2 linked regions of the Mytilus edulis genome follow. The protein of the gene in region 1 purifies or fractionates together with the protein of each later gene. This does not show direct contact. Links are inferred from orthologs where the notes say so. Each region holds a gene or a part of one and is shown on either strand. Other genes may lie near its edges.

What was found.
Region 2: the proteins of F-box/WD repeat-containing protein 7-like (region 1) and dolichol-phosphate mannosyltransferase subunit 1-like purify together in Homo sapiens (affinity purification with mass spectrometry, with the first as the bait; 3 studies listed by BioGRID). This does not show direct contact. The link is inferred for Mytilus edulis from reciprocal best matches to the Homo sapiens genes FBXW7 and DPM1.

Annotation. Positions count from the first base shown.
Region 1 is NC_092351.1:67,283,176-67,290,321, reverse strand, and holds the start of F-box/WD repeat-containing protein 7-like, read right to left. Parts: upstream 4,432-7,146; 5' UTR 4,342-4,431; intron 1,971-4,341; 5' UTR 1,946-1,970; coding exon 1,841-1,945; intron 1,096-1,840; coding exon 977-1,095; intron 366-976; coding exon 101-365; intron 1-100. UniProt on the Homo sapiens protein: Substrate recognition component of a SCF (SKP1-CUL1-F-box protein) E3 ubiquitin-protein ligase complex which mediates the ubiquitination and subsequent proteasomal degradation of target proteins.
Region 2 is NC_092348.1:4,568,540-4,575,685, forward strand, and holds the start of dolichol-phosphate mannosyltransferase subunit 1-like, read right to left. Parts: upstream 3,688-7,146; 5' UTR 3,636-3,687; coding exon 3,532-3,635; intron 2,035-3,531; coding exon 1,935-2,034; intron 1-1,934. Other genes in the region: protein FAN-like, read left to right, coding at 3,941-3,978, 5,517-5,615, 6,020-6,098, 6,767-6,822. UniProt on the Homo sapiens protein: Transfers mannose from GDP-mannose to dolichol monophosphate to form dolichol phosphate mannose (Dol-P-Man) which is the mannosyl donor in pathways leading to N-glycosylation, glycosyl phosphatidylinositol membrane anchoring, and O-mannosylation of proteins; catalytic subunit of the dolichol-phosphate mannose (DPM) synthase complex.

The DNA of each region.
Region 1 (7,146 bases):
ATTATCATCTAATGAGGGAGGATAAAACAATGACAAATTCAAGTTCCATAACAGCCCTAAGATAAGATGGTTTACAGACAATAATTTGTAAGATGCTAACCACATGGCTACTGAAGAGTCCATTGACTGGTATAGGAATCCTAGATTTATGTTGAGCATTAGACCTGTCTTCTTCACGGAACATAACCTCATCGCCAGACTCTTCCTCTGACATGTGACCTTCGTGGGATACAATACTGTTACCATCATCAACATGTTCCTCTGTTGATTTGAACAGTGCTCGTTGATTGTGTCTGATAGATCTGGCTGATAACCCACTAGATGATGGCTGTTCCTTACAAACATTATCTTTTACTTTAGGTGTCCTGAAAAAATAAGTTGAATAATCATACATCATATTTAATGAACAAAACATAAAAGTACCATTTTTTTTTTAAACATGCATTTTTTACATGGCATGCAAGTTTATTTATAATACATGCCACATTCCTTTTGAACTAAAAATTTGAAAAAAAAGCCCAACAACTGAAAGTTTCATTTTTTTTAAATGTTCAAAATAAAAGTAAGAAACTTTTATTGAATTATTTTCAATTACATACAATGTTATGTAACCTGACAAATATTTCACTCATACCTGCCAAACCTACCATTTTGATTGGGAAGCACTTGCACAAAATCATGAATTGAAGAGATAAAGTATACTTTTTAAATGTTATTGGTGCTTTGTAGATGAATATGTTAACCGGTTATATATCTAACTTCGAAATGTTGTATGTTGTAAGTGCAAAATCTCCCTCTTTTTCATAAAAAAAATAATATACATGCATTGTCAGAAAATATCAAATGTAAAATTTGTACTTGTTATGAGACAGTTAAAAATACAACCCATGCTTTTCCTCCAGTTTCAAAAGCTTATCCAATTATAGATTTAGTATTTTGTACAATGTAGTATACTGTATTTAAGTATATAAATTACCTGACAGCTTTGCGTTTGCGGTTACTACATGTCAACTGAGTACGACTTTGTTCCACAATACAATCCCCAACTCCTGGGACACTACTCAAATCCTTTACGGTTGAGAAACCTCCAAATGACTGCAATAAATTATATGGCAAATCTTTAAAAATGTACTGTGCCAAATAGGTTACTTTGAAGTATACAATTAATAGAATTGTAAATTATTTCAGCTGAAAAAATTTCAGAAAAAAGGTATCAAAATTCAGGTTACTCAAATTCCAAAGCTGTTGTTCTTAGACTCATTCCAATCTTAAAATTCTTTGATCTGTTTTAAAACCTATGATTTGCACTTGTTGCTTGCCCCCTTTCTCTCAATCTACAAGTATGTATGTATGTATGTTAAGTTTCATTTGTTTTGAATCTATAAGCTAGAAAGCAAAGAGCCTAAAGTTTGATGTGCCGATCTGCATACATGTATATAAACAATGGGGTCTGTTGTAGTTTGCAATGTGTTTTGAGATTTGATCATTATTGAAGGTCATACAATGACCATTTGTTGCTTCCTTTGACGTCATTTGGTTTGACTGTCACAGGTGGAGTTTTTTTCATTGGCAATCATACATGTACCACATCTTTTTATATAGACAGTTTTATATAACTAAAAGCCAATTAAAGTGCATACCTATTTGAATTTGTAGTAAAATTACAAATGAAACAAATTTGTAAAGTGTACACAACTGTAAGACACTGTTAGGCCCTCAACAATGAGTAAAACAAAAACTGTATAATAAGAAGCTATAGTGCCCAGGCTTGACAATATGTAAATACTTTTAATGTCCACTTTTCAAGAAATTTAAAATAATGACCATGAGAAAAACTGACCTTCCTGTATTTGATGATAGCTTTTGCTTTTCTTAAACCAATACCATTTACTTTTTCAAAGTCTTCTACACTAGCCTTGTTGATATCTATTTTCTTGCTTGCCATTATCACAGCCAATCATCTTTATTTTCTGTAAAACATTATCAATATCATGAATGTAAAGTTAGGTCGTCAGCATGCAATACATAATTTGTAATAATAAATATGATGTCGGAAAAACAAGCACATATTGTATATAATTAAAGCACCAGATCATATTTGTACCTTTTTTGAGGGAAATTGTGATGTCATGGTGCATTCTCAATAGCACTAAAACCCATGATACAAGATACATTTGTACATCACTTTAAGGCCAGTCATGTCAATGTTTTTATCAATTTCAAAGGATTAGGATTTATACTTCACATGTACTTCACAATAGAAACAAAGTATAGGAATCATGTATTAATTTATCAAAAAGATCAATGTTCATCGACAGTCATCCAGTGTATACCAGAATTATGAAGACATACTAAATGTTACTTATCCTATGAGGAGAAAAAAAACACCAAAAAATGTCATCAAAAATGTTATCTTGTGTGAATTCTGTTATTGTTTCATGACCTGTTAAAAGTCTCCTCATTTACTTGTACCCTATCTCTTCTTTATTCACATAACTGACCTCCTGAACACTGTAACACCTTCTGTAAGGCTGTTTGCTAGCAACTGAATACTGTATAGAACCATCAAAATAGAAAAAAGACCACAAACTTAGAACTACAAGAAGATTGATAAACAACTGGGGAATGCGATTTCAATTATTTAATGGAAAAAAATGTTACATTGTTATATATGCTTTAAAAACAAAAGCTAGAGATTTAATATGCTAAATGGACACATTCTCCAACAACTCACACCTAGGAAAACAAATATCAGAAGATCTGAAGTAAAGCACACACAAAAAGTCATAATAACTGTTGCAAATAAGGCAAATTCAACCCTAAGTTTTCTGAGAAGGAACCTAAGGTACATTTACATGTACTGTCCGCATGAATGGTAAGAACTGGTACAAGGGCTGTATAGCCAGTCAAGGTCGTTAAAAACTTTCATTTGTTTGGTAAGAAAACTGCTAACATTTCACAAGTACACTCAACAATGGAAGATGCAGCAACAGCATAGCATGAACAGCCACAAACAAGCTAGAAAGGTTCAAAATATTTAATAACTTAAGACAAGAAAAGATGGATGCATAACAAAATCCTTGTCAAACTTACAAATTACAAAAACTACAGCATACATTTAGATGCACATACAAAAAGCTTATATTTGGGTACACAGTGGTTGAGGGGCAGGTTCCTGCTATTGATCCAGACTAAAACTAACAAGAATGTGTCCCAAGTACACAGATGCCCCACTCGCACTATCATTTTCCATGTTCCAAGGACTTTGAAATTGGGTAAATATATAATTTGGTATTAAAATTAGAAAGATTATACTATAGGGAACATGTGTACTAAGTTTCAAGTTAACCTGAAGCGGGAAGAACGAACGAACGGATGAACGAAAGGGGCCACAGATCAGAAAACATAATGCCCCTCTACTATCGTAGGTGGGGCATAAAAATTAGCTAGATAAAACCATGTATCATATGTACTAGTCCAAATAATTATGACGTCTGGCAAGGCTATTTTTAATTTTTTTCTGGGACGCCTTCCTACAACGAAGGCGTCCCAGAAAAAAATTAAAATAGCCTTGCCAGACGTCATAATTATTTGGACTACATATGTACCAACTCTCTTTGTGTCCACAAATTATAATCAACTAGTACCATCTAGAACTAGTTGTGCGCACAACAAGCATTGACAAGTGCAAGTCTTTTTATTAAGAGCATTTAATCTGCCCACACAAACTGACACCTACAACTCATTGTATAAAAGCCAGTACTTGTTATTATGACCTGAACATGTACAGATATTTCTTTCAGTCATGACTTTTCTTTGTCCTTAAATGTACATGATGTAAGTTGATTTTCCCATTGGTATATTTCTCCCCCTACATGTAGATTAGCAGGATTAGAAAGATATGCTTTAAGTTAGAAGGAATTAAATAAATGGGTAGAGACTGTGGTTAACGTAAAGTTTATTGAACCATCACGGTATGGTGTCTTGTTTTCTTTGAAGTTCAACAACGAATCAATACCTTCAAAAAGGCAACCTTTATACTTATTGTATTTCATGTAGTTAGTATACTCGACTGTCTGTGTAATACAATATAAAACATTGCTTAAAACAAATCATAATTTGATTTCTGATCATCTTAGTTTTCCCTAGATTAAGTTGATAACCACGCGATCAATGTCAAGAAAAATATCTAAAATCGAACAAAAAAGGGTCGTGGCCGCGTAACATTAATCAGCTGTTTGATTGCCATGCAAATCCGACAGAGAAACTGGATCTAGCAAAGAAACGTGAAACTATATGCTTTAATATTGATACTGTGGCATAGCAAGGCCGTTGTCCTACCTGAAATGGGGGCGATTTGTAGTGTTTACGTAGGAGAACTTTATCCGTTCCATCGCCATATTTATTTATCGATGATAGACGGAGAGTGACGAAAATAGCCGAATCTGAAAATAGGTCTATAAACCAAAAAGAACTTGACAACGTACCTACTCGAACACTTGATATATGTGTACACGAATTTAGATGTACTAAAGTCTATACAAATCTTTGATGTTCAGTTGTAAATATTGTGGCAAGCAAATAATTAATAAGAATAATAAAAAAATATCACATCTTCACTTTTTTTTTCAGTAAATCATGAACTTGTGACATACGTTAGCAATAAAGATATTATATACTTAATAAAAAAATACAAATAAATATGTTGTAGAGTAGGCATGGTCAACAAAACACAGGCATAAGATAAGCTCTACAGCCATAGTGTCTGTGTCTACAGCGCTTTTAAATTACATGAAGGATTTGTATATCCTTGATTATCATTACATAAATAAGACGCAACAGAAAGAAAGCAACACGTTATTAATGAGATAATTAAATAAAGATAAAATATTTTTTATTCCAATTAAAGGGACCACGAAGAGCAAAGTAATTTATTACAATGATTTTTATAACTGACACAATAATGCTGATATAAATCATATATAAATATGAATCTCAATTCTTAGATGTTAAACCACAGCCAGATCAGAGCCACACACATATTAGAGAAAAAAGGCATAACAATTATATCTATTATTAATTGAAACGAACACATAAGCAATATAGCCTTCTATGATGTATATAATTTAACTTTATTTAAGTTTTCCTTTTTAACTATTTTGGTGTTTTAAACAATTTTTTTACATAATATATTTGACATAAATATAGATATATATATAATTTATAAACTTTATTGAAAAGCACTTTACGCCCATATGGGCCAACACAGCTTGTAAATAGCCAACGAGAAGAGTTTTATTACATTGATGTAAAATGAAATAAGAAGATGTGGTACGAGTGCCATTGAGACAACTCTACATCCAAGTCTTTCAAAATGTGTAAAAAGTAAAACTAGTATAGGTCAAAGTAAGGCTTTCAACGCGGAGCCTTGACTCACATTGAACAGCAAGCTATATAGGACCCTAGAATGACTAGTTTAAAACAATTCAAACAGAAAAAACCAAGGATCTACTCTATATAAAAATTGAAAATGAGAAACAAGAAACAATCACGAACCACATTAACAAAAGACAACCACTGAACAGATTCTTGAAGTTCAACTGGTGCAAACGAATGCAGCAGGTTTAAACGTTTTAACAGACACCAAACTTCACCCTAACCCGAAATATTAGTGTAACAGAACAACATAGAAAGACACACTATAAAATATCAATTGAAAGGGTTTGACTCAAACAAAAAGACTTATTAACAAAAAAAAAACAAGTAAACATACACATGCCTGCTACTCTAGCTCATATTTCCATTTAATTAAGGTCAGTTTGGACACAGCCTTAGTCACAGAGTTAGTTTTTGTACATGCCTGTTACTCTTTCTTATATTTCCATTGAGTTAGTGAGTGTGAACACATCATAGTCATAAGGTTAGTTTCGTTTCTATGATGTACATGCCCGTTAGTCTTGAAAATATCTCCATCAAGTTGAGCTCAAAGTGAACACAGCTTTAGTCAAGGCGTAAGTTTTGTTACATTGATGTACATGCATGCCTGTTACTCTTGCTCTTATTTCCATTGAGTTAAGGTCAATGGGAAAACAGCCTTAGACATAAAGTTAGTTTGGTACATTGACGTACAAGACACTTACTCTTGCTCATATTTCCATTGAGTTAAGGTCAATGTGAACACAGTCTTAGACATAAAGTTAGTTTGGTACATTGATGTACAAGACAGTTACTCTTGCTCATAGTTCCATTGAGTTAAGGTCAATGTGAACACAGCCTTAGACATAAAGTTAGTTTGGTACATTGACGTACAAGACAGTTACTCTTGCTCATATTTCCATTGAGTTAAGGTCAATGTGAACACAGCCTTAGACATAAAGTTAGTTTGGTACATTGACGTACAAGACAGTTACTCTTGCTCATATTTCCATTGAGTTAAGGTCAATGTGAATACAGTCTTAGACATAAAGTTAGTTTGGTACATTGACGTACAAGACAGTTAATCTTGCTCATATTTCCATTGAGTTAAGGTCAATGTGAACACAGCCTTAGACATAAAGTAAGTTTGGTACATTGACGTACAAGACAGTTACTCTTGCTCATAGTTCCATTGAGTTAAGTTCAATGTGAACACAGCCTTAGACATAAAGTTAGTTTGGTACATTGACGTACAAGACAGTTAATCTTGCTCATATTTCCATTGAGTTAAGGTCAATGTGAACACAGTCTTAGTCAAACAGTTAGTTTGGTACATTGACGTACAAGACAGTTACTCTTGCTCATATTTCCATTGAGTTAAGGTCAATGTGAACACAGCCTTAGACATAAAGTTAATTTGGTACATTGATGTACAAGACAGTTACTCTTGCTCATAGTTCCATTGAGTTAAGGTCAATGTGAACACAGTCTTAGTCAAACAGTTAGTTTGGTACATTGACGTACAAGACAGTTACTCTTGCTCATATTTCCATTGAGTTAAGGTCAATGTGAACACAGCCTTAGACATAAAGTTAATTTGGTACATTGATGTACAAGACAGTTACTCTTGCTCATAGTTCCATTGAGTTAAGGTCAATGTGAACACAGTCTTAGTCAAACAGTTAGTTTGGTACATTGACGTACAAGACAGTTACTCTTGCTCATATTTCC
Region 2 (7,146 bases), on another chromosome or scaffold:
TTACAATTTTGTCTTTGCCATATATTTTCTCTAGTTGTTTTGCCACCTCTAAGGATAACTTACAATTTTGTCTTTGCCAACTCTAAGGAAAACTTACAATTTTGTCTTTGCCATATATTTTCTCTAGTTGTTTGGCCATCTCTAAGGATAACTTACAATTATGTCTTTTCCATATATTTTCTCTAGTTGTTTTGCCAACTCTAAGTAAAACTTACAATTTTGTCTTTGCCATATATTTTCTCTAGTTGTTTTGCCACCTCTAAGTAAAACTTACAATTTTGTCTTTGCCATATATTTTCTCTAGTTGTTTTGCCACCTCTAAGTAAAACTTACAATTTTGTCTTTGCCATATATTTTCTCTAGTTGTTTTGCCACCTCTAAGTAAAACTTACAATTTTGTCTTTGACATATATTTTCTCTAGTTGTTTTGCCACCTCTAAGTAAAACTTACAATTTTGTCTTTGACATATATTTTCTCTAGTTGTTTTGCCACCTCTAATGATAACTTACAATTTTGTCTTTGCCATATATTTTCTCTAGTTGTTTGGTCATCTCTAAGGATAACTTACAATTATGTCTTTTCCATATATTTTCTCTAGTTGTTTTGCCAACTCTAAGTAAAACTTACAATTTTGTCTTTGCCATATATTTTCTCTAGTTGTTTTGCCACCTCTAAGTAAAACTTACAATTTTGTCTTTGCCATATATTTTCTCTAGTTGTTTTGCCACCTCTAAGTAAAACTTACAATTTTGTCTTTGCCATATATTTTCTCTAGTTGTTTTGCCACCTCTAAGTAAAACTTACAATTTTGTCTTTGCCATATATTTTCTCTAGTTGTTTTGCCACCTCTAAGTAAAACTTACAATTTTGTCTTTTCCATATATTTTCTCTAGTTGTTTTGCCACCTCTAAGGATAACTTACAATTTTGTCTTTGCCATATATTTTCTCTAGTTGTTTTGCCACCTCTAAGGATAACTTACAATTTTGTCTTTGCCAACTCTAAGGATAACTTACAATTTTGTCTTTGCCATATATTTTCTCTAGTTGTTTGGCCATCTCTAAGGATAACTTACAATTATGTCTTTTCCATATATTTTCTCTAGTTGTTTTGCCAACTCTAAGTAAAACTTACAATTTTGTCTTTGCCATATATTTTCTCTAGTTGTTTTGCCACCTCTAAGTAAAACTTACAATTTTGTCTTTGCCATATATTTTCTCTAGTTGTTTTGCCACCTCTAAGTAAAACTTACAATTTTGTCTTTGCCATATATTTTCTCTAGTTGTTTTGCCACCTCTAAGTAAAACTTACAATTTTGTCTTTGCCATATATTTTCTCTAGTTGTTTTGCCACCTCTAAGTAAAACTTACAATTTTGTCTTTGCCATATATTTTCTCTAGTTGTTTTGCCACCTCTAATGATAACTTACAATTTTGTCTTTGCCATATATTTTCTCTAGTTGTTTTGCCACCTCTAAGGATAACTTACAATTTTGTCTTTGCCATATATTTTCTCTAGTTGTTTTGCCACCTCTAAGGATAACTTACAATTTTGTCTTTGCCATATATTTTCTCTAGTTGTTTTGCCACCTCTAAGGATAACTTACAATTTTGTCTTTGCCATATATTTTCTCTAGTTGTTTTGCCACCTCTAAGGATAACTTACAATTTTGTCTTTGCCAACTCTAACGATAACTTACAATTTTGTCTTTGCCATATATTTTCTCTAGTTGTTTGGCCATCTCTAAGGATAACTTACAATTATGTCTTTCCCATTTATTTTCTCTAGTTGTTTTGACACCTCTAAGTCAAACTTACAATTCTGTCTTTGCCATATATTTTCTCTAGTTGTTTTGCCACCTCTAAGTAAAACTTACAATTTTGTCTTTGCCATATATTTCTCTAGTTGTTTTGCCACCTCTAAGTAAAACTTACAATTTTGTCTTTGCCATATATTTTCTCTAGTTGTTTTGCCACTTCTAATGTTCCATCAGGACTGCCATCATCAATTACAATGATTTCAAAATCATATTTACTGCAATCAAAAAAAAATTTGATGTGCTACATTTGTACTTTGAGAAGTTGGATAGTAGCATATATAAACATTATAGATATAAAAGATAGAGAAGTGTGGCAGTGCAGTTAAGAATGGGTTAACCACATATCATTCTGCATGATCTGTGCATGTACTAAATTTGGCTTCTGGTATCTCTAATTTAATGTTGTTTGTCTTTTACATTGTATGTCAGTTAACTTTTGTGAGAGTTGGTATTTGCTGTTTGTACTGTAAATTAGTTTTGGTGCTTCAAGTTATACTTGTATTAGTCAAAAGCATTATTACCATTTGAACAGGTATATGTACAAATTATTCAACTGATGATATTTATTTTCAAAAGATTTGTCATGTTTGTAAAGCAGCTACATTTGTTTCTTCTTATCTATAGTCCAGAAATTCAATCTTTTTATATAAATACAGATATAAGAAGATTTGGTATGAGAGCCAATGAGACATCTCTCCATTCAAGTCACAATTTGTAAAGTAAACCCTTATAGATGTTTGTAGAAAACAATTATATATCATGTATATTGGATATACTTGTATGTGGTTCAGAAACTGACAAGTGCAGTACATTTTACTACATCTTTAAGTACCAGTTTTTAATATTGTTGAAGGCTAAAGTGAATATTCAAATTATTGATTGTTGGTTGCTACATGTATATGATGTAGTTAACATCCAGTGGCAAATATTTCATTATTCAAATGAGAATTTAGTGTGCTTTCAAGGTATATATAGAACTATTCTAAATCCTATATGCTCTTTCCAATTTCACTTTTAACATTGATCTGCCCCAATGACTTGAAGATTGTGTTTTCTGATGCAATAATGTCATGGTTGTAGAGAGGGGGGATAGGACCTTTATCGGGACTCCGGGATCGGGTGTTTTTAAGCTTGGGATTTCAGGATTGACCCTTTCTGGATCCGGGAATTCTATTTTTCGAATTTCGGGACCTCGGGATTTCGTGTTTTTTAGCTCGGGATTTCTGGATATCGTGTTTTTAAGCCCGGGATTTCGGGATCAGGACCCCTCCTAACCCCCCTCTGTAGACAATAGACAATATTTTATTGACGCAAACACATTTACAATAAATGGTAATGACCGAATGGATAAACAATTTACAATACATGGTAATAAAATACAAACAATTGTGTATAAGTGAATAAAAAATTTAAAGGTTTAATGAAAATCTATTGCAATCAATCACTTCTTGCAAGTAAATGTAGATCATAAAAAACTTATGAGAAAGTATTTTTTTAAATCTTTCAATAAATTTTAATAAATCCCTTTTTAGGCAACAATTTTCTAGTCTTTTTTTTTTGCCTACTAAAAAGTTTCTTCATAATGCATAAATGCTTGACATCTACAAGGAAACATACAGGTATAGTAAAAAATATTCATAAAAATGTATTTTTTTACTACAAAAATTTATGTAAAATGGATTTATTCATTTCTTGACATCATTATTTGTTACCTCTCTGTAAAATATTTCACAATAAGCCACACTATTAGAGGTAGATTGTCCTTTTCGTTGTAAGTTGGAAGGAGAACAGAATATTTGTTTTTCTTCTCAGCCATGTTGGCACTTTTAAGGGACAGGCTATTTCTCAAGAACGATATAATTACTGTTAGGTGGATATATCGAACCAAAATATAAAAAAAGTTAAACTTTTGTTTAAAATCTGATAAAATTGAATGGTACAAGAAAATTAACAAGAATTCAAATGTTAGATCATTTAAAAAATATTTGTTTTATTGATAAAATGACTTGTCCCCAAATTTAACCTTCAAACCGGAAGTAGAATAAAACTCTAATCAACCCGGAAACAGACCAAATGGATATGAACACAGACTGAATTTCACATTTATGAATTCTTTGAATAATGTCTTTTTTAGAAAATGACACTGCTTCAAAAGAAAGGTTTATGATTTTTTTATATGTATATATCATGTAGTTTCATAAGAATTTATACACTGTCATTCACTTACAAATGACTTAGTTTTTCTTTGTTGGGTTATGTGATATCTTATGTCTTATGACTTGTGTTATTTCTATGAAGATTTTTGTGGCTTATAGCTGAGGGAGGTGATGGGGGTATTTTCATGACGAAAAAACTGAAATAATAATTAATTCTTGCCAAATGACATTAACGGTAATTTTTGGGGCATGACAATAAAAATGTACAAAAGAATCGACTGATTTAGACGAAACACTTTCAATTTTTTTCTAAAAATGTCAACATGGTCAATAATGATAACTATTTGAGACCTCTGACGAATCATGATAAGCATAATTTGACGAATCATGGCAAAATTTTAACCAATTTGACGCTAATGGTAACCAAAAATGGCCATTTGACGCCTGATGGTAAAGGGCATTAGCCGGAATCATATATCTAAGTGACAAGTCCCATCAGTATATATGTTCCTGCTAATAGTAATACTGGTAACAGTGCACTGAAACATACATTATCAAGGTTTTTCACTGAATGAAGAGTTTGAATTTTCTGCATTTTTACCTCACCTGGCCCGGAGGGCCAAGTGAGCTTTTCTCATCACTTGGCGTCCGTTGTCGTCATCCATCTTCGTTGTCCGTTGTCTTCTTTAACTTTTTACATTTTGAACTTCTTCTAGAGAACCACTGATTGGAATGAAACCAAACATGGCATGAATGTTTCTTATGAGGTGCTGACCAAGTGTTAATTGTTACTTTGTAGCCGATCCATCATCCAAGATGGCCGCCAGCAGGGGACTAAGTTTAACATAGGACCCTACGGGAAATGCATACAAATGACTTCTTCTAGAGAACCACTGAATGGAATGAAACCAAACATAGCATGAATGTTCCTTATGAGGTGCTGACCAAGTGTTGTTACTTTGTAGCCAATCTATCATCCAGGATGGCTGCCAGCAGGGGACTTAGTTTAACATAGGTTCCTATTGGAAATACATACAAATGTCTTCTTTTAGTGAACGACTGAATTGAATAAAATCAAACATAGCATAAAGTATAAAAATGAGAATAATGCAGACTTTGTCAAAACCAAGAAATCAAACATCCACCCAAAATGCAATTTCCCTCAATCAACAAAAATGTGTATCCACAAAAGCACAAATATCTTACAACAACTCCAACCAATGAACAACTATGTTACAACAACTCCAACCAATGAACAACTATGTTACAACAACTCCAACCAATGAACAACTATGTTACAACAACTCCAACCAATGAACAACTATGTTACAACAACTCCAACCAATGAACAACTATGATGGAGAGAAAGATTGGCATACTTTACTATGATGGAGATTGGCATACTTTACTATGTTTGTGCTTCTGATCTCCTTATTAAACTTTATTTTAAAACTAAACATGCTAAATGTCATCATGTGTTATTAATTATTTAACTATTTTTTTATGACTTGTATATTAGAAGGTTATCCATTCTTTTCCAGGTTTAATCTGTTATTACTAGATCCAGGAGAAATCTATTTTGAAGACTACAGTGTTTTCTATTATCCTTGTGGTCTTCCAGAACCAGAAGCTGTCAAAAGGTACACAATGTTTTTATGTTTCCAATTATATTATTCAAATGATTTTACAAAAATATTTGTCTGACCTTTCTCATTTAAATGAATGAGACTTCTATGATAGATAATGAAGACATCATGAAAACATGTAAGTTGCACATTGGTACTTTTTTTTTTTGCTTGGACAAAAACATTATTTCTCTGATAAAGTATTATTTTGAAAGGATTTTTAAAGATTCTTTATGATAAAAATCAAACAAAATAATAATTTTGGCTGAAAATTCTGTATTCATCTGCATATTTTTTTAAAATCTTTTATTCAGTAAAATTGCTTGTTTATGTCAATTTTAATCAAAATATTAGATAGATTTTGCAATTTGTTTTTTATTGTGATAACACAGCACACTATTTGTTCTTTTTTCTTACAGGAAACAGAGAGGACATTTGAAAATATGTTCCAAGTCAGTTGTGTTTGTTCCAAAGGAAAGTCAGAACCCTATTCTGAAGGTATTATTTAAGTTACAGACTAATAAAATTGTGAATGGAAATGGGGAATGTGTCAAAGAGACAACAACCCGACCAAATAAAAAACAACAGCAGAAGGTCACCAACAGTTCTATTTTATATTATAATTGTACAAACAATTGTCTGATCTATATTATGGAACTGTTGGAGCTATCTATTTACATTTAATACTGAAAGGTACTTTAACATAACAACTTGTGAAGTCAACAGGCAATATAGAGCTATACAGATAAAAAGATGTGATATAATTGTCAATTAGACAGTTCTACACCAGAGACCAAATGACATAAAGACTAACTGTATATGTGAGTATGAACATTTGTTTATTACTGGACATTTGTTTATTACTGGACATTTGATGTCCTTTTTGGTTTATTGCATTTTGCTATTAGACTTGCATTGACACATTCCCTACTTCTTTATTTATTCACGTTTAAATAACACAAATACAAAAAGAGTTTACCTTTAATGGGTAGAAGGAACCTTAAAAGAAGACAGAGAAATGAATTCTGTGATGCAGACATGCATTTTCACTGAACCTTTAAATCAAAATTACTGATATTAACATTTGCATTTGACAAGTATTACTTGACATGTTTCAATTTGTAAGGACCTTTTCATTATAGTTTTCTAATCCGTTTCTATTACAGTTTCCATTAAGATATGTGACAGAAGTAGATGAGTGGTCTGGTGGGTTGTTTTCTAAGTAAGTAACCTTATTTATCTATTGTAACTAAAAAATTAGATAAAATATAACTTGTAACTTTTAATCCTGTTGTTTTTTAGAGTGCAGATGGAGAACAACATTAAGACAAACTCTGCCTTTTTATGTAAATATAGATTCTTACACTGCAACAAGTGTATTACGATATTTCTCCACTCGAGACAGTTAAATTTTATTATTTAAAGTGCGAGGCTTGCCGAGCCCTTTAAATAATAAAATTTAACTGTCCAGAGTGGAGAAATATCGTAATACACGAGTTATAGTGTCGGAATCTGTTTCTCTAATGCTTTTTATCGTTCTTTTTCA